Schizosaccharomyces pombe: one gene and its partners. Changing the gene in region 1 together with any one later gene gives a genetic interaction. Each region holds a gene or a part of one and is shown in the gene's direction. Other genes may lie near its edges.

What was found.
Region 2: mutations in ngg1 (region 1) and ftp105 together harm fitness more than expected from each alone (negative genetic interaction), as found in Schizosaccharomyces pombe (2 studies listed by BioGRID).
Region 3: mutations in ngg1 (region 1) and tea2 together harm fitness more than expected from each alone (negative genetic interaction), as found in Schizosaccharomyces pombe (2 studies listed by BioGRID).
Region 4: mutations in ngg1 (region 1) and res2 impair growth when combined (synthetic growth defect), as found in Schizosaccharomyces pombe (2 studies listed by BioGRID, with this or other methods).

The regions. Positions count from the first base shown.
Region 1 is NC_003423.3:1,586,050-1,590,404, reverse strand, and holds ngg1 (SAGA complex subunit Ngg1/Ada3), read left to right. Parts: upstream 1-2,006; 5' UTR 2,007-2,062; coding exon 2,063-3,718; 3' UTR 3,719-3,813; downstream 3,814-4,355. Other genes in the region: upstream binding transcription factor, RNA polymerase I specific, Hmo1, read right to left, coding at 1-824, 1,017-1,046; transcription factor TFIIA complex large subunit Toa1, read right to left, coding at 3,988-4,355. UniProt on the Schizosaccharomyces pombe protein: Component of the transcription coactivator SAGA complex. SAGA acts as a general cofactor required for essentially all RNA polymerase II transcription. At the promoters, SAGA is required for transcription pre-initiation complex (PIC) recruitment.
Region 2 is NC_003424.3:1,784,516-1,790,907, forward strand, and holds ftp105 (Ubp5 interacting protein Ftp10), read left to right. Parts: upstream 1-1,854; 5' UTR 1,855-1,922; coding exon 1,923-1,942; exon of another isoform or gene 1,943-1,984; coding exon 1,985-2,027; exon of another isoform or gene 2,028-2,089; coding exon 2,090-2,122; exon of another isoform or gene 2,123-2,190; coding exon 2,191-2,837; intron 2,838-2,935; coding exon 2,936-3,143; intron 3,144-3,199; coding exon 3,200-3,577; intron 3,578-3,676; coding exon 3,677-3,931; exon of another isoform or gene 3,932-3,983; coding exon 3,984-5,177; 3' UTR 5,178-5,840; downstream 5,841-6,392. Other genes in the region: gus1 (glutamate-tRNA ligase), read right to left, coding at 1-570; protein saf5, read left to right, coding at 6,110-6,392. UniProt on the Schizosaccharomyces pombe protein: Required for the localization of ubp5 to the Golgi apparatus. Involved in detoxification of cadmium ion.
Region 3 is NC_003423.3:3,891,100-3,895,791, forward strand, and holds tea2 (kinesin family plus-end directed microtubule motor Tea2), read left to right. Parts: upstream 1-1,957; 5' UTR 1,958-2,101; coding exon 2,102-3,988; 3' UTR 3,989-4,157; downstream 4,158-4,692. Other genes in the region: uba1 (ubiquitin-activating enzyme E1), read left to right, coding at 1-801; Pet117 cytochrome c oxidase assemby protein, read left to right, coding at 1,156-1,251, 1,305-1,475; trs8501 (TRAPP complex subunit Trs85), read left to right, coding at 4,311-4,692. UniProt on the Schizosaccharomyces pombe protein: Promotes microtubule growth, possibly through interactions with the microtubule end, and is important for establishing and maintaining polarized growth along the long axis of the cell.
Region 4 is NC_003424.3:684,951-689,731, forward strand, and holds res2 (MBF transcription factor complex subunit Res2), read left to right. Parts: upstream 1-1,584; 5' UTR 1,585-1,642; coding exon 1,643-1,874; exon of another isoform or gene 1,875-2,038; coding exon 2,039-3,780; 3' UTR 3,781-4,229; downstream 4,230-4,781. Other genes in the region: glutamate-cysteine ligase Gcs1, read left to right, coding at 1-1,320; ATP-dependent RNA helicase Rok1, read left to right, coding at 4,533-4,781.

The DNA.
Region 1 (4,355 bases):
TTCGCTGATGGCGGATTGGGGCTAGAAACGATTTTGTCAGGAGAGGGTTGAGGTTGAGAAACTGGTTCAACATTGCTTGTAGGTACTGTTGAACGGGTGTGCTTTCGCTTCGGTTTCTTAGCATGCTGTTCTTTAATGTCAGGAGTGGCTCTAGAAGCTTGAGCCAATGGTCTGGTTTCTGAAAAGTCTATCAAATCTTTTTTAGTGGGAGAGGATAAGTCTTCTGAAGGTTTAGTAGAAGTTTCCTCAGCCGTAACTCGACTATCAGCAACTGACGCATTTTCTTTAGAAGCATTATAAGCAGCCATTTCTTCTTCGTAGGCTTCTCGAAGTTTAGAAGCTTCTTCTTCGTAAGTTTTCCGATCATCTTCAGATAGCGAGCCCCACTTTTCATGCATCGCTTTATTCACCTCTTTAACATCGTTACTCTTCTCGCCCAAAGACTCCTTGATTTCCGATCGTTGGTTCTTCTGAAAGAGATTATAGGCTGATGGAGGGCGCTTTGGTTGTGCAGGATCCCTAGCCTTGCGCTTGTTTGGGGTCATGGAGGCTACAGCTTCCGACGTATCGACTGCGGAGGTTGCCTCAACAGGAGCTACTGCTGCAGGAGTAGCTTTCTTAGGTGAAGTTGCTTTTTTAGAAGGAGACTCAATTGCCATATTAATCTCTTTCTTCGCATTTGATGGATCAGTGACGGCTGGCTTAAAAGGTTTCGAAACCTCGGACTTCTCTCCTAATATCGAAGGAAGTGATTCTTCGATCTCACGGCATGCGGTTAAAGCTAACTGAAAAGCTTCCGCCAACCTTGTGAAAGAACCAGAAATCTAAGACGGCAATTTGTTAGATAAAAACCAAAAACCAAGCGGATAACTAAAGAAAATTTTGCATTTAATCATCAAACTTTTCAACCAATTAAAAAAGATTATTTTTAGTAAATACTTGATTTAAATCAATTTTTTGAATCATAAAACATTATGTTGGTTCAAAACACCAAAACTCTTTAAAATATCACATACCTTTTCCAGTTGGGTTGAGTTTTGAGCCATCGTACTACTTAAAAAATATTCAAAGTTTCTAATACAACTAAAGCTTCAATACGATGGCAAATACAGGAAATGGTGGCTGACCTACCGGGGTGATGGCGGGAATTTAAATCTTAGCGGTTATGACGGTGGGTGGTTGGTTAATGCTGGAAATGCGAAGCAGATGAAATTGCTTCAGTTAAACCCACCAGTTCGGTTGAGCTTTCTTCACATTTTATTATTATTACAGTTTATAGTTATTTAATATATGTGACAATTGTTATTGTTGAAATTACGATGGTTCAGTGAGATATTTCTTCATGTGATTCTGTTGAGTGATATAATGAAAATTACAAAAGACAATTGTAGTAAATTAAATATATAATAGGAAAATATGAGAAAATCTACAACCGAGAAAAATTTTTTTTTTTTTTTTTTTTTTTTTTCTTTTTCTAATCTCAATCCACTAAATTTGCTGAGACTTACAGTCAAATAATGTCCCATAAATGGAAAGAATAGCAATAAAAACATCCAAAATTTAAAAAAAAAAAATGATAAAACATTTTCTTGTAAATATTTACCTCTTAATTAAGTATAAACAAATCCTATTCCATTGACTCGTAGATCTATTTCATGATATCTTGTGAAGCTGCAACTCTGTTTATCTAGTTCTTGCGCTAGACCAATTGGTTTAGAAACTATTAAATTTAAGATAAATTTAATTTTAAACAAACCAAAGATCACTTATAGTGTTCAAAATACTTCGCAAAGCATATTGCTTTTGCGATGGATTCACTATGAATAAAATATATTGCTGTTTAATTTGGTTTGAGATATCATATTCGTAGCAATTCAACGCTGTTCTTGATTAATATTTCTGAGCACCGTTATAACAATGTAACAAGTGGTATACTAGACTTCGCTAAAAGTACGCCATCATCGAAATCCGGTATAAAAAATCACCACCTCAGTAATGAATTTTTTCGGGGGAGAGAGACATATGTAAATGTTGTATTGTTCACGATTTAAATTTTTTTGGGATGTCCTCCGAACAACAAAATGAAGCTGATTCGAAACCCGCGGTGATTCCTCAATGTTTTAAAATTGAAAATCAATACGAGACCTTTTCCCGTCTGAGTGAAACGTCAACTCCTGGTGTTGTACCGTCTGTGTCGACATTATGGCGGCTTCTGTTTGAGCTGCAAAAAATGATTGAGTGTGAACCGTCTTGTGTAGAATATTTTCGCCAGCGCAAAGAAGAGTTAGAGTCTCATGTCGATTCTGAAATAGAAACCTCAAAAGACGAATCGTCGGTTAATAAAGTGGAAGAAAAAGTAGAAGAATTTAAAGAAGACAACGTTGAACAAGAAATAAAGCAAAAGCGTTCTCTTTCCGAAAGTCCACAAGAGTCTATGCTAGAAAAAGTTTCCAAGAAGCCCAAAGTTTCAGAGGCCCATAATGAAGAAATCAGTCCCGAAAATGTGGAAACAATTGAGAATGAATTAGATTTACCGGTTAAGGGTAAAGATGAACAGACAACTGGGTTGGTATATAAAAACGCAAACGATCTTCTAACCGGTTCATTACTATCTTTCATTGTTGACGATTCCTTCTCTTATGAACAAAAAAAGAAGCTTTTATGTGTAGATTCCTTTCCAACCAGTGATGTACGATCGTTGGTGGCAGGAACTCCGGCGACTGATGATTTTTCTCACAACAAGCCAAATAACCAGATTTCAATATCAACCTTTTATTCGTCACTTGACCCATATTTTCGTGCTTTCAATGATGATGATATTGCTTTTTTAAAAAAAGGATTTGACGTTTCGTCTTCCTATAATATTCCTCCTTTGGGGGAACGCTATTACGATTTAACTCCGGAAGATGAAATGACCAACCTGTGTGCTAACTCAATTTACCAAAACCTGCAAACCTCTGCTCAAGGATCCCTTGAAGCTTTTAATGAGGCAGATACCGTCTCTGAGGAAGTTAGGTGTGGTCCACTCACTGAACGACTAATGGCTTCATTAATTCCTTGCTACACGCAGAATGATGAGGAGCAAAAACCTTCTATTGCTGTTGGCGAATTTGCGGAAACCGATTCTGGATCCGAGAAAAGCAAAATTGGTACAAGCATTGATGGAATCGAGTCAGGAAATAATGAATATACAGAACAACCGGATATACAAGAGTCGAGTCTTTCAATTTGTGAGGACCGCCTTCGTTACACCCTAAAACAACTAGGTATACTTTATGATGGCGATGTAGATTGGTCAAAGCGACAGGATGATGAAATTTCAGCTACCTTAAGGAGTTTGAATGCTCGTTTGAAGGTAGTTTCTGATGAAAACGAAAAAATGAGGAATGCGCTGTTACAGATGCTTCCTGAGGAAATGGCATTTCAAGAATTCCAAAATGTGATGGATGATCTAGATAAACAAATCGAACAAGCGTATGTCAAACGTAACAGAAGTTTGAAGGTTAAAAAGAAACGTATTGTTACTGATAAAATTGGCTCTTCAGCTACGAGCGGCTCTTTTCCTGTCATCAAATCATTGATGGACAAGCGCTCAATGTGGTTAGAAAAGCTTCAACCTTTATTTCAGGATAAGCTTACGCAACACCTTGGTTCGCCAACTTCTATTTTTAATGATTTATCGGACCACACTACATCTAATTACAGTACATCTGTATGAAGCGTTTAAAATTTGAAAGTGTATATACTGTAATTCTATCATTGTGATCTAATTTAATTGCTTGCTTTAGTGAATAAAATTTGCATGAAATAATAATAATACTTTTAACCGTAGAATAGATTGATGTGCTCACTAAAATATGATAGGAAGATTACTTAAATGCACTTATAAACATGATTCATGAAGAAAACAAAAAGGCCAAAAAGAAGAATGATTGATAGATAAAATACGTCCATCACTTTTTGAAGCAAAACACCTAAAGTAAAATTTTAAATCCATTCAAACTCACCATTCGCCTTGAAAAATAAGTAATCTTTTCCATTAACGCCAACTACGCCATCTCTGAACACACATTTCCATTTATTTTTGTGGTGGTTCACTTTGTCATAAAGACAAAGAACGATAGCCTGTCCAATATCAGAACCTTCTTCAGTTTCGGGAGCCTCATCTGAATCAGGATCGTCTAAATCTGAGTTAATTGCTTCGTCAGAAGGCGTATCAACAGGTGGCTTTTTTTCATCTTCGTTATCTTCTATAGTGCCGTCAATTTGCAAAATGCGATTCTTTTTCAAAACTTCATAAATTTCAGCATCAGCTTTCTGTGCAATAGCAAATCTATTACTTTCAAAATTAGAAG
Region 2 (6,392 bases), on another chromosome or scaffold:
AGATTTTTGTTTTTTGCTAATATTAACTGCCTTGGTGAATTCTTCCATGGTGACACTCACGGCATTTTGAGAATCCATAAACTTGTACCAACGAGCAAGGTTGAAATACTGGCCAGTGCGTACGGCACCAGCTGCCATGTTGTTTGATTTTAAGGCACCCCAAATAGAAAAATCAGCAGAGGTGAGGGAATAACCCACAAAAAGAGAGCGCATAATTAAATGGTCGTCTAACTGAGCAAGAAGTGAAGAAAGCTCAAGAAAGTTGTGGTTACCAGCTAAGGCAGAGGCAGTTTCCACCCAACTCTCAACCAAAGAACGATCGTTTTCGCCAATGAAAAGTTTAGGATAGACTTGAGAGAAAGTCTGTAAAGCCAACTTGGAACCGAATACAGGAGAATCAGAGCCGTTAAGCTGAATGGAGACGTTCGATTCCTTGTTTTGTTTGTCTAATAAAGCAACGTCCTCATACTTGACGGAAATGCTTCCTGCACCAGACAGATTCACATAATTTGCACATGCAACTGCACCATAAGCAATGGGCTTTGCTTTTAATGCAACACTAACTGACATTTTCCCAAAACCGGTGGTGAAAATTGTCGAACTTGGTTCGTGGTAAGTTGGTGTCGAAGTGATTTTTAGGGTATTAGTGTATGGTAAAGGTATGTTTGCAAAACACTAAAAATCCAAACCAGAAAAATTCGAACGCAGTACGAAGTTGACCGAAAAAAAAGGATTCTATTTAAGTACAAATTAGATTATAGATAAGGAATTCAAGTTCATGTCTGACCTTGATTAATTTTCTTTCCAGCATTTTTCGCTAATCTGCTAATTTTATACAGATATGAACCGAAACCGAGGGTTTCTCGTTATACTGTTTACCATTTTCTAACGTAAATCGGTATACCGATAAGAAAAGAGAATAGATACATAATAACAGAGTGGAGTTGAAACAATCAGAAGAATGGAAGAAAAGTCATTTTTTTGTTAATAATTACCTGTTAATCAGCTATAGGATTAAAGGAAAAAGTAGGAAAAATCATCTACCAAGTTAATTAATAAGATCTTTATCATCTCATTTATTTAGTTATCTTGCTATTGACAATTTTGACGATATCAAATACATATATGACATTTCAAGTACATTGAGAGTAGAAAAAGAGCACCTTTTATAATTGAAATTATTATAAATTGGAAAAAAATCTCACTTCAAAATAGATAGCTGCTTTGTTTATTTTACAGAAATAGCTAAAATTTGAATACAGCCATTTATAATGTACTTCATTGTATATAATATAAGGAACTCTAACATATCACGGCATAGTCTAGCGATTCATCTACTGAACATGTAAATATATCATTGTTTGCTTCGACAGATGTCTCATGTGGTTTTGCCGCGTGAGTTATACAGTAGATGAATTGTTTACAGCTATACAGTTTCCTTGTTTTTTTTATAACTGAGAAACCTTTGAGGTTTATCTGATGGCACGGTAATTATGAGATAACGAGTAGAAACCAAAAACTCACAAACATTTAAATGCAGTTCAGCAGGTAGCTGAAGTCTCTTTGACAAGCTGTATTTCTTCCTTAATTCTCATTTCGTGATGGTAATCAATTGTTTTCCTTACCCTGCCTCCTAACAAATTGCAGTTTGCTAAAAAGTGTTTACCAAATAGTGAGTCATAGTGCATTGACTGTAAATGTGAAAATTCGTCGTAATGCTAACGATCATTAAATGTACGGTAGAGCTAACAAATTAACTCGAGCAATAATAAAATTTCGCAATATGAAATAATGCATCTTTTGGAAACTTAGCGCGCGAATAAAGTATACACATGGACGGGTCTACTAGTACCTAACGATTATCGATGAAGCTGCAGCGTTTGTCAAGAGCACTTTACGGTTTTCGCATCTAATTAGAGAATATGGGAGGCCAAGAGTCAAAGTAAGTAACATTGCGAAATTTTCGTATGAGCTAACTGTTTAGATTGGCATTTCAGCGAGGAATTGCAAGATTAGCTTCTCAACCGGTACGGTTTGTGTTTATGGGTGGATGATACGCTAAGAGAACATTGCAAGCTAATTCTAGTAGGATATACCGTTGGATGATGAAGTTTGGGTTTCTGTATGAAATTTTTTTTATTAACTTGTGTAAGACGCTTTTACTAATGTATTCGTTTTTATGTTTATTAGCTTTGGAGTGTACCTGAAAGTTGTCCAGAAGTTTACGATTTTTTTCCCCCAGGTCTCATTCGTGAGATGAGGGATCATGCCTTTGTAAACCTTGAAAAATTGCTGCTTGTATTGACATCTCGTTTGTTTGCGTTGAAAAATGACAAAAAGTTTCCAAATCCTGAAACGGCACCAGCGAGTGAAGCGTTAAACTGCATTCGCCTACTTACTAGAATCATTCCTTTTTTGAATGAGAAACTCGATTTAGAAGAATGGCATCAAAAGTTTTGGTGGAGCCTTAGAAAGAAGAGAAATTTACCAAAGGAAAATTCCGAATTAGACCTTAGTAATTTTCAAGACGATCTAGATTTTGAAAATTCCATCTCCCAAAAGAACGAATTCTCGCAGAAGTCTCCTTCAGTCCCATTATCTCCTGTGAGCACCTTTCCTGCTTCTTCCATCTCCCTTGATGCTTCTTCAGACGTCTCTGCCGCTGACGTATCAGTAGGTGGTTCTAGCACAATCAAAGAAATTGGCTCTATTGAAGAAACTTTTACTCATGAAAAAACTTTAATGGAGGAATTGCTGGACACCGTCTTTCGTTTGCTTTTTTGCAGAGGCTTTACGCTTCCTCTTTCAAGTCCTGAGCAATATGCATACATTATATGGTAAGTATATATGTATATATATATATATTTTTTTTTTGTTTTTCGTTTGCTTTTTTATATTTGGTTAAATGCAATGTGTTAACTAATCACTTTTGCAGGGAAAATGGAATTGGTACAACAGAAACCCAAGAGAAAACCACAAAGGAACTTGCGTTTAATCGCATTGAGGTTCTTCGTTTGCTGTTAGTATTGATTTCTAAAAGGCTGTATCGATCTTCTGAAGTAGCTTCTCACACCCTTACTTATTTGACCTGTGTAGCAAATAAGCAGCTTATACTAGTTTTTCTTTATTCCCTTATAAATACTGTAAGTTTTGGCTTAAAATTTACCTTTTTTTGTTGTACAACTAACTTAGTTTTTAGACTTTGCGACTTAGACCTGATAGCTGGAAGGCTTCGTATTCAACTCTAGTACCTTATAATGATTCTAGCATTGCACTCTCAAAACTTACTTCTCAAATCCTTTTGCTTTTTTTAGATCACACCCCTCATGAAACAACAGTCGAATACTTCAGACAGAGACTCAATCTTTCTCCTGGCGCTGCTATCGAAAATCAGTATAGATTATATTTTTCTCGACTTCAATTACAAGCTGATTATGAATTTTTAGTTAACGAACTATATCGGCTATTGAATGCACCAGTTTCCGCTATCTCTGCCTATATTTCAATTGTACAAAAGCCTAATATCGCGTTTCCGGAAATTATTTTGTTTCTTTGGCAAGCAATTTTATATAATAAAGTATGTTCAACGGTCCTTTTATATATATTACATTATTTGTACAGTTGTTTAATTTATGTTGTTACGCGTTCATTATATTTGCTAACTAATTTAAAACAGCGTTTCCGAGCATTTTTGATCACTTCTCCTTATGCTACGGAGTTTTTAACTTCTATTCAGTTTTATGCACTTAGATATCGTGAAGACAATGAACATTCCGGCCTTGTTCGCATTTGCCTTTTTATCGTTCATTATTTATCATGCGAGAAGGTTCTTTGTGAAAAACTAAATAGAAACTGTATGAATGCACAATCATTGATGTCTTCCCTTGGGTTCTCAGTCCCACCAATGTCTTATGCAGAGTTTTTGATTATCGTAAGATTCACGATTAATTGTTTATTTTAATTTTATTACTTACGCCTTCCAGTCTAGCTTTCATATTTCAGCAGTGAAGAGATCTCCGTTTAGCAGTTTATCTCCTGTTATATTGTTGACCATATGCAATATTGCACCATTTGTTGAAAACCTAAGTTTCGTTACGTGTGCCAAATTAATGCAACTCTGTTCATCTCTTTCATCTCCTCGGTTTCTTTTTCGTAATCCGCGCAATCATCTGCTTCTTGAATACCTGTTACAGGCTATTTCTAGTATAGTTGAAAACAAGTTTTCTCAAAACCCTAATCTCAGTTATTCTATTATTCGCCTCCAGCAAGTTTTTTTGAATCTTAATTCTATGAAACTTCCTGCCGTTGCTCAGACTAAATCACAGCCTTTAGTGGCCCTCAATTCGGAAGGAAGTAGTGATTTTGAATCTAAATCATCCGATAACACCTCCTTAGATGGAACACCACTCCAAAATACTGACTTTAAAAAAGTTGCTACCGTTGAAGATGATTCACCTTTCGATGAATTAGATAAATTTTCCTCCCCTTTTAGTAGCAGTAGTTCACGCGGTGGCTTATCACATATTTCGAGTAGAAATGTTTCGATTTCTGTCCCGACAGTCCTTCAAGATGTATTCTCAGATTCTCCATTGGTTCTGTCTAGAAAGTTGCGTGGGAAAATACCGGAAAATGTTTCTAGTTCAGAACTTATTAAAAAATGTGCATCCAATCCGTTTGGAAAAGATTTAGAAATTGACTCAAATTTGTTTGCACCTTCCAACTCGTGGTTTAATTCTTGGCATTCAAGACTTGAATTGGATTCTATTCTAGCCATTATATCTCAGTTTTCTCTACCTGTATACAAGAAAATGAATGAAGAATTATCAACTACTGACGAAGCTGTTAAACTATTAGCTAACTCTGTGCTAAATGATGTACATCCTCGAGTTCCCAATTTTCGCTACTTTATTTGGAGTGTCCCTATGAATAATTGGTTTCAAAGTCTTGTTTGGCTTTATACTTTGTCATTTGATGAAAAAGGTTTAATGGCTACTCCCTCTTTATTTACAACCTCTAAAGTGTACAAACAACATGGAAATATCATGAAAGTTGCATCTCCTGAAAACAGTTCTAACTCAATGGAGAATGCCACAAAATCTATACTTGACAAACTCGATTTGCTGTATTTACAGCTGCCAAGTAGTGTCAACCACGATTCCAGTTTACGCAACAAGTGATTCTTAAATTCAATGCGTAAATTAAAGTATACTTTTGTCCTAAAAAATATTTGAAGAAAACCCTGCATGCATGTTATGGTATCTTACTTTGAAAATTTATTGATTAAATTGTTCACTAAAAAATTATCTTGGAGGATTTGCATCCACATACTGCCATCATTTAATTATATACTGATGACCAGAATCTTGCCTTGCTAATTTTGATTTTTGAACTTTTCGATTTGTTTTCATTCTATTAATTAACTAAAAACTGGCTTGGAGAATCTTCTGCTCCAACCTTGTCACTAGCTTTAAAAAAGTCTTTCGAAGTTTGATTTGGAAAGTTGGTGTTTGAAAGTCAATCTCGTATACTTTAGAAAGACCCACCTTTATGAGAGAAACGATCCACTGATGCTAATTCATTACATGTATCCAAATCAATGTATAACCTTATATAGCAATGAATTGGTTGCTAAAAAATTCTTAGCTTTATTTCGCTACACTTATAAATCTGTTTACTATATAAAATAAAAAATCCAATTTCAAAAGTTTTGAGTCCCAATTTTTTGGGTAACGAGGATTACTTCATAAAGACCTTAGACCTTTCCTTTATTTTTTCCACAAAACTATTTATATTCATGAGTTTGTTTTGTAATTGCAATGAATAACTAGCTTGTCATTTACGAAAATTGCATATCAAAAGTATTTGAGTAAAATCGATATCCTGTTTGGCATAATGGTTCAATTTATAAAAAATTCGTGTGGTTAAGAGTAGAAATATATTTTCGATTTTGCGAAATGCTTAATATGCGAAGATATTGTATTTGAGTACTTCAAAAGAATACAACGCACAGTAAACCTTTTCTTTCAATAAATTATCAGGTAGAGGTGGCCTTATTACTGTTTTTTAATAATTTTTATGCTTAAATACCTATTGGAAGCAAGAAGTAATTATGATTACCAAAATTGACTCACTTCCAAAGGACCTAATTCGCAAAGTTGAAAATGGTGAAAAGTTGTTGCCAAATCAAGAAATCGTTTATTTTGAAGAAAAAACAGTCCCCTATAAAATTAGAAGTGATGAGGAAAGTTTTCCTTTGGGCAAATTGATAACTTTATTAGTAACTTCACAGAGCTTTATCCTTTTTGATGAAGAACAGAATTCTGGCTGGAAAATTCCATATGAAACCATTACTCTTCATGCGAAACAAAGCAAGGATAAGCCATATGTATATG
Region 3 (4,692 bases), 2.3 Mb from region 1:
TACGAACGCGTTCTTGCTGGCTACAATCCTCCTCCCTTTGCTCCCAAGTCTGGTATTAAAATTCAAGTCAATGAAAATGAAGAAGCTCCCGAAACCGCTGCTAATAAAGATAAACAAGAACTGAAATCGATTGCTGACAGTCTACCACCTCCATCCTCTCTTGTGGGTTTTAGACTAACTCCGGCAGAATTTGAAAAGGACGATGACTCTAATCATCACATTGACTTTATAACGGCTGCATCAAATTTGCGTGCCATGAATTACGACATCACACCTGCGGATAGGTTTAAGACGAAGTTTGTTGCCGGTAAAATTGTACCAGCCATGTGTACATCAACTGCTGTCGTTTCAGGACTTGTATGTCTTGAGCTTGTTAAACTTGTTGATGGCAAAAAGAAGATCGAGGAATATAAAAATGGATTTTTCAACCTTGCTATAGGGCTCTTTACATTTTCTGATCCTATTGCTTCTCCGAAAATGAAAGTCAATGGTAAAGAAATCGACAAAATCTGGGATCGCTACAATCTCCCGGACTGCACACTTCAAGAGCTTATTGATTATTTCCAAAAAGAAGAGGGGTTGGAAGTGACCATGCTTTCATCTGGAGTTTCTCTTTTGTATGCTAATTTCCAACCACCTAAGAAACTTGCTGAAAGGTTGCCTCTCAAAATTTCTGAATTGGTTGAGCAAATTACTAAGAAAAAACTAGAACCTTTCCGGAAACACTTGGTGCTTGAAATTTGCTGTGATGATGCCAACGGTGAAGACGTTGAAGTTCCATTTATTTGTATCAAGTTGTAATACCTTTGAGAACCGGTTAATTCCTGGAATTTGCAACATTTAATGCCAATGGCTCTAATAAATTTACTAAATTAGTATTAGCAGTCTTTAAAAAACATTAATAGGCATGTATGAATAATTTATTATTTTTCCTATACTCTTTCTAATTTTTATGAACTAAGATCTGTTATATTTTAAAAAGTATTTTGACATGTAGTAAAATTGTTGTTTTTTTGAGCAATTTTTTTAACGTCGGCGATTGGCATTTACGTAAGTTTCGACTGCTAACCTCCTAATTTACCTAAGAGTATATCTTTACTCGGCTACAAAAGTCTATCGTATACATTATATTAAATTTAACTAGAATTATTGCCAATGTCTACTGCCTCAAAACTTTGTATCGTCGGGGCCGGTGTCTTTAGTGTTTACATGGTTTATTTCGTACATAATAATCAGATTATTGAACGAGAGGTAATATTTACTTATATTAAAGAAAATATGCACCATAGCTAATGTAAGTATAGAAAATGTCGGCGGGAGTTCAAAAAGATGATGAAAGGAAAAGAATTAAAAAAGAAAGGTTTGAAGACCTAAAGCGACAACAAGAGTTACGAAAATTTTACGAAAGCCAGCTACCTGTTGAAGAGGACGAAAAGGGTCTCCGACAGACAACGCAAACAACAGTGAACGACTAAAACCAAGTTTTTAACACAGATTGGACGAATCGAAATTATAGACAGCTTGAAACCTATAGCCTCGGACTTCCAGTGTTCAGCCAATTTATCCAGAGCAACTTATTTACCTTTACTATACATTAATATTTTTTTCATCTTTGCCAGATTTTAAGGATTTAATATTGAGAAATTCAGCTCGGTTAAATAAAAAAGAAGTAACTACATCTAGAAAACGGCATAACAGGGTGTGTTAATCTTAGAGGGTTATAGGCAAAAGAGCTAGTTTTTTGTTAACATTACTCAAAAAGGAAATATAAATCAATTTACATTATGCTATATATTAATGAAATTTACTTTATCCGGTTATTAGTAATATAAACTTGTCATAGTTTACTGGTTATTCGTTATAATGGTTACTACCATCGTAACGAGGTAAGTATGCCGAAGTGTCTTGAGATTCCTTAATGTGCGAATGAAGTGAATGGTGAAGGTAGTTTATGTCTGACAAATTCTAATACATTTCACTAGCTTGTTGAAAGATTTCAAAACTGAGTAAATTTGACCACCACTTAATGGAAATTTTTCTATTCTTTTTATTTTATATAAGCACGTTCATTTTCTAACCTGTTATTTTTCTACTTCATGAAATGAGTTCATCTTCCTCAAAACCCGTGAATACTGGGTTGGTTACACCTCGCCGCTATTCTACAATGACTGGCATACGGACTGGTCCATCTCAGAGTGGAACAGGGAGTATTCCATATTCCCCAACGTCACCATTGTCCCGAAATTTTTCGAACTATTCCATACCTATGCTACGAAGCAATAGCACTCAAACAAATGTAAATGGGCCTACAGCATTTGATTTGGGAGTTACAGAGAAATTGATGTCTCCTGGAACTTTAGATAGATACACGCGTCCTGCCTTGTATCCGTCGAAGGACTTGGATTATTTAAAAAATGAGTATGTTAATTATGAATCTACAACAAGTCAACAAACCAATTCTAAAGGTTTAAAAGAGAGCAACTTTGTTGGTTCAGGAATTATCACAAGTATACGTATTCGACCTATTGGTAAAAACCAAGGTGTATGGTCACATGGCAAGTTAAGCAATGACCCATATGGTCGTGAATACATTCGCCAGCAAACAAGTACAAGCTCGTCCACAATTCAGCAAGAATATCTTTTTAATAATGTTTTTGGGATGGAATCTAAAAATTACGATATATACAAACGTTCTGTTAAGTCGGTTGTCCGTAATGTTTTTTCCGGATATAATGGAATAGTGTTTGCTTATGGAATGACCGGCACAGGAAAAACATATTCTATGCAAGGTACGGAAAACGAACCTGGTATTATTCCACTTGCCATGAATGATTTATTTGAAATGGTTGAAAACAATTCTGATGACGATACCTTTCAAATCCGTATATCCTATTTAGAAATTTATAATGAGAGAATACGAGACTTAATCGGAAACTCGGACGAAGAGCCAAGAATACGCGAAAATGCATCTGGAGAAGTCAATGTTACACCATTAACTCGAGTTCTCGTCACTAGCCCCGAAGAGGTTAGTCAGGTTATTGAACAGTGCAATGCAATCCGAAAAACAGCAGCAACCGATTTCAATACGTATAGTTCTCGTTCGCATGCAATTCTTCAGGTTTTTCTTATTCGAAATAATCCTACTGCTCACACTTCACAAATTTCGAGTCTCAGCTTGGTGGATCTCGCTGGAAGTGAAAGAGCTTCAGCTCACCATGAAAGACGCAAAGAAGGAGCATTTATCAACAAATCTCTTTTAACATTAGGAACTGTTATTTCTAGGTTGTCAGCAGCTGCAAATCCTTCACTTACCTCAAATTCAGGACATATACCGTATCGTGAGTCTAAGTTAACTCGTCTGTTGCAGCAATCTTTATCCGGCCAATCACAAATATCACTTTTAGCAACGATAAGCATAGAATCCAACCATACGATGGAGACTACTAACACGCTTAAATTTGCATCTAGAGCTCAAAATTTGCCTCAAGATATTCGCCAAGCGGAAGCTGTGACTAATGTTCAAGCTGAATTAGCATCTTTACACTCTGCCCTTGAAAAGAATGCCCAAGAAGTTGAATATTATGCTTCTTTGGTGAAGCAATTGACTTCGGACTTAGAGGAACGAGATACATACATTGCCATGTTAGAGGCAGAGCGTTCGCAAGGAACTGCTATAAGTAGAGCTCGTTTACGAATGGAGGAATTGCTTTCTGACCATAATTTCGAAATTGCAGATCTAAGAGATGAATTACAAGATAAAGAACAAATTATTTATGCTCTTCGATATGCTCAGAAGCAACGGGATATTGCCGATTTCAATCAATCGCTTGCTAAATTCCCTCACAAAATCTTAAAGAAAAATGTTACTAGGGGAAGCAGAAGCTCCTCTGATCAGTTCAGTAATGAAACTAAAACTGAAATTTTGCCAGACGATCAACAGCAATCGAAAAAGGATTCTGTGACTCAGGAAACGCAACTTCTTTCTTGATACCTTGTTTAATTATAGGCGTCTTCTCATCAACCTTGTTTACAATTTTATACCCATTCAACCTGTATGTCTCCTTAAATTACTTTAACGATACGATGTTTCTTTACTAAACAGGCCGGTTCGCAGTTGCATCTCTTTCTTTTGCATAATATTTTGGAATTTTCGGGGATTTTTTCCAATAATTTGTAATGACACATTGTAATAAATCCTTAATTTGCATAGGTTGGCTTCTCTATGCAAAATTTTATTAAATTTGCGACGACCTGCTACAATCATATACTACGTTTGGAATTTTTATCCTCTATACCGTTAACACATCCTTATGGACATTGCAACAAATTTTATAACCAGGAGCCTTTCTGAAATTGCTCCTAATGCATCTCAAAGTTCTCTTCATGTAACACCGTCATCGGTGAGCAACAATGCGTTTGGGCTAAAGCTTCGACAGCTGATCAGTGACACATATTGTCCGCACATATTTATTATGGCATCTGATGACACAGAAAATTTCATGAAGCGTAAAGGATTTGACGATTTTGCATCTTTTATTCGACCGTTCGGAGATCGCATTTTTCAGAGCTCGACAAACAATTCTGCCATTTCAAAGGAAACTTTGGATTCTAGGATTTTTGATAATGATCATGACTCAATTCGCTTTGTTCCTATGGAAGCAGTACAAGTTCCTCGGCAGTGGAAGCGAAATA
Region 4 (4,781 bases), on another chromosome or scaffold:
GACGATGTTATCAACACACATGTTCGTTTCCCGACCTTGACTGCTAATATTCGTCAAAGGCGCGGGAGAAAAGTGGCCATGAATGTTCCGATTTTCTTCGATAAAAATACAATTAAACCATTTCACGATCCTACCGTTCCTTGGGATAGAAATTTGTTTCCTGAAGATGCAAATGCACGAGATGGTGCAGCGTTAGACAATCATATTTACATGGACAGTATGGGTTTCGGTATGGGATGCTGTTGTCTACAAATTACATTCCAAGCTAAAAGTTGTGATGAAGCTAGACTTTTATACGATCAGTTGACTCCTATTACCCCCTTGATGCTGGCATTATCTGCCGGAACTCCAGCATTTCGAGGCTATTTGGCTGATCAAGATTGTAGATGGAATGTGATTGCTGGTGCTGTCGATGATCGAACCGAGGAAGAAATGAAAACTGTGCCAAAATCAAGGTATGATTCTGTTGACTTATATATCTCGAATGACAAGCGCAATTTACCGGAATATAATGACGTCCCGGTCGTTATAAATCAAGATTGCTACGATAAGCTAATAAAAGATTGCATTGATGAAAGATTGGCTAAGCACATGGCTCACATATTCTCTCGTGATCCTTTGGTTATTTTCAGTGACAGCATTTTACAAGACAACAGTGTATCCAATGCTCATTTTGAGAACCTAAACTCAACTAACTGGCAATCTATGCGCTTTAAACCTCCTCCACCAGGTAGTGATATTGGTTGGCGTGTAGAATTTAGATCAATGGAAATTCAAATAACTGATTTTGAAAATGCGGCATATTCAATTTTTGTTGTGATGCTTTCTCGTGCAATTCTATCCTTCAATTTGAATCTGTACATGCCGATATCGCTAGTGGATGAAAACATGAAAGCTGCTCATGCTCGTGATGCCATTCATCGTAAAAAGTTTTGGTTCCGTTGCAATCCATTTCCTGACGCAAGTACTGATGATGAATCTGGTCAGTTCCGTCAACTTACAATTGACGAGTTATTTAATGGTGAGCACCGTGAAAACGGATTCCCAGGTTTAATTACCATTGTTCGAAGCTATTTATACTCTTGTAATCCTGATGCCAAAACTATTTGCCTAATTGAACGTTATATTCGCCTAATTTCTCAAAGAGCAAATGGCCAATGCTTGACTGCTGCTTCGTGGATACGCAATTTCATTACAACTCATCCTTCTTATAAGCAAGACAGCGTGGTCAACGACGAAATTAATTATGATTTAATTAGAAGAATAGCAAAAATTGTAGATGGCGACTACGACGATACGTTACTTGGAAAATGCTCATAATGCAGATGAATTCTGAGTGGAATATATATAAGATTTTTTTCTACTTAATAACATATCTAAAATTTTGGTAATTTAAATTCCTTTGCAATTCAGTATTACAAGTGTAGTTCTTTGGCAACTGAGACTTCCCATTGATTCCTTTCATTAAGTGAATACTCATTATTTAATTAGTGCTAATATATATTCAGTAACTACATAGTTGATTTTCTGTATTGCCCCACCCTTCCCTATTGTTATGTGTATACGCAGGTAGGGTGAGCGAACGCAATGCATGCACCCTTTTAAGAGTCCGCGCTACGCATTTTAACTGCCTTTTGCTGTAATGGCTCCACGTTCTTCCGCAGTACATGTTGCCGTTTATTCTGGGGTTGAAGTCTATGAATGCTTTATTAAAGGTGTCTCTGTGATGCGCAGACGCCGCGATTCCTGGTTGAATGCTACACAAATCTTGAAAGTGGCTGACTTTGACAAACCACAAAGGACAAGGGTTTTAGAAAGACAAGTACAGATTGGTGCGCATGAAAAAGTACAAGGTGGATATGGAAAATATCAGGGTAAGTTGTCTACTGTTACGCGTTGTGACATGATTTGCTATCTTTGAACAACGCGAACAATTGAGTGTTTACTAAGCCAAATCGAGGTATTTTAATACCTTTTTGTATTAAATATCTCTATGGACGCGTCCTCTAAATGATTGACGGTATTAACCAAACTATAGGAACTTGGGTTCCATTTCAGCGTGGGGTCGACCTGGCCACAAAGTATAAGGTTGACGGAATAATGAGCCCAATATTGAGTCTTGACATTGATGAGGGAAAAGCAATTGCTCCAAAGAAGAAGCAGACCAAGCAGAAAAAGCCTTCTGTACGTGGCCGTAGAGGCCGTAAACCGTCGTCACTTTCTAGTAGCACTTTGCATTCCGTCAATGAAAAACAACCGAATTCTTCTATATCACCAACAATTGAGTCATCTATGAATAAAGTGAATTTGCCTGGTGCAGAGGAGCAAGTTTCTGCAACACCTCTGCCAGCGTCTCCTAATGCACTGCTATCACCAAATGATAACACTATAAAACCTGTTGAAGAGTTAGGCATGTTGGAGGCACCGCTTGACAAATATGAAGAGTCACTACTTGACTTCTTTCTTCACCCAGAAGAGGGACGCATTCCTTCCTTCCTGTATTCGCCGCCCCCGGATTTTCAAGTTAACAGTGTTATTGATGATGATGGCCACACTTCTCTTCATTGGGCATGCTCAATGGGACATATAGAGATGATTAAGTTATTACTGAGAGCCAATGCTGACATTGGCGTGTGTAACAGACTGAGTCAAACACCATTGATGAGGAGTGTTATCTTTACCAATAATTATGACTGCCAAACTTTTGGACAAGTGCTTGAGCTTCTCCAGTCTACTATTTATGCTGTTGACACCAATGGTCAGTCAATTTTTCATCATATTGTGCAATCAACCTCAACTCCTTCAAAAGTTGCAGCGGCCAAATACTATTTGGATTGCATATTAGAGAAACTAATATCGATTCAACCATTTGAAAATGTTGTGAGATTGGTAAATCTACAAGATTCAAATGGAGATACCTCTCTATTAATTGCTGCTCGAAATGGAGCCATGGATTGTGTAAACTCTTTATTAAGTTATAACGCCAATCCTTCTATTCCTAACCGACAAAGACGTACAGCTTCCGAGTATCTTTTGGAAGCTGACAAAAAGCCACATTCATTGTTACAGTCAAACTCAAATGCTTCGCATAGTGCTTTTTCATTTTCCGGAATAAGCCCTGCTATTATCTCGCCATCATGCTCATCGCATGCTTTTGTTAAGGCAATTCCTTCAATATCTTCGAAATTTTCTCAATTAGCAGAGGAGTATGAATCTCAGCTTCGAGAAAAAGAAGAAGATTTGATTAGAGCGAATCGTCTCAAGCAAGACACGCTTAATGAAATTTCCAGAACTTATCAGGAATTGACCTTTCTGCAGAAAAATAACCCCACTTATAGTCAATCTATGGAAAACTTGATTCGAGAGGCCCAAGAAACTTACCAGCAGCTTTCGAAGAGGTTACTAATATGGTTGGAAGCACGACAAATCTTTGATTTAGAGAGAAGCCTCAAGCCACATACTTCATTATCTATTAGTTTTCCTTCCGACTTTTTAAAAAAGGAAGACGGACTTTCGTTAAATAACGATTTTAAAAAGCCGGCTTGCAACAACGTGACCAATTCTGATGAATATGAGCAATTAATTAATAAGTTAACTTCTCTCCAAGCTTCCCGCAAAAAAGATACTTTGTATATTAGAAAATTGTATGAAGAACTAGGAATTGATGATACAGTTAATAGTTACCGTCGTCTTATTGCAATGAGTTGTGGCATCAACCCTGAAGATTTGAGTTTGGAAATACTCGATGCTGTGGAAGAAGCATTAACCCGAGAAAAATGAATCTTGGAAACTTTCATTTACATCTTGTCTTAATGTTACGTTCTTTATTTAATGATACGAGTTATGATAGTTAATGATTTTATCCATGACACTCACTGTCAAACTGCATTTATCAACGTTATCATACTTTGATAGAAAAACACGAGTTATTTTATATATTATTTTCGAATGGAATCAAGTGGAAAAAACATATATTGCTCCTTCCTAACAAAACTATTATGTTACTTATTTATGCGCAGCTAAAACAATCTACTATTGTAAAATGATTTATCTCATTTACAGCGCGTGCTTCCATTCATGATTCATCCTTTTTGCATTCGCACGTTAATGATCATCTAAAGGATACCAAGTTACTGAGCTTCACTTTAATTTGAGGGTCCTGTTCAAATAGGTAAAAGAGTGATTAATACAAATAATCAATTATTTAATTGAAAGAAAATCTATAGCAGTATTTCTCGTAAATACGATATAAAAATATGTAACCTATAAACGCAGAAATCGCGTTTTTTTGAATACATTTATTATGTTTACTTAGCATACATAAATTTAATAACGCTGTTGGAATACACAATTTGAATTAACGTACTGGTTTAACTAGAGGACGTTAGTGCAGCCTTTCCCCAGCAGCTACCATACTTACTTTAGTCGTGTATATGTATAATTGAAAATTTCAACAATCTTTTATTTTTGTTCCTTCGTTGAAATATCTACTAAAATATTTTAACTTTGATAATTAAGTATTGCATAAGGAAATGGATGCGTTGAAACTTTTGACAACTAATGTCAAATTTAAGAATAAAGTACCTCAACCTTCTATAAAAGAAAAAGAAGCAAAAAAATTACAAGGTATTACTAAGGGAAAAGCTAAAGTTACTGGTAATAATCCTGTTGATCCAATTGAAGAGTTTCCGGAAGGAATACTTTGTGAAAACTTAAAAAAACAAAACATAACAGAATGTACCACAATTCAAAGATATGCCATTCCAACGATAGGTTCTAAA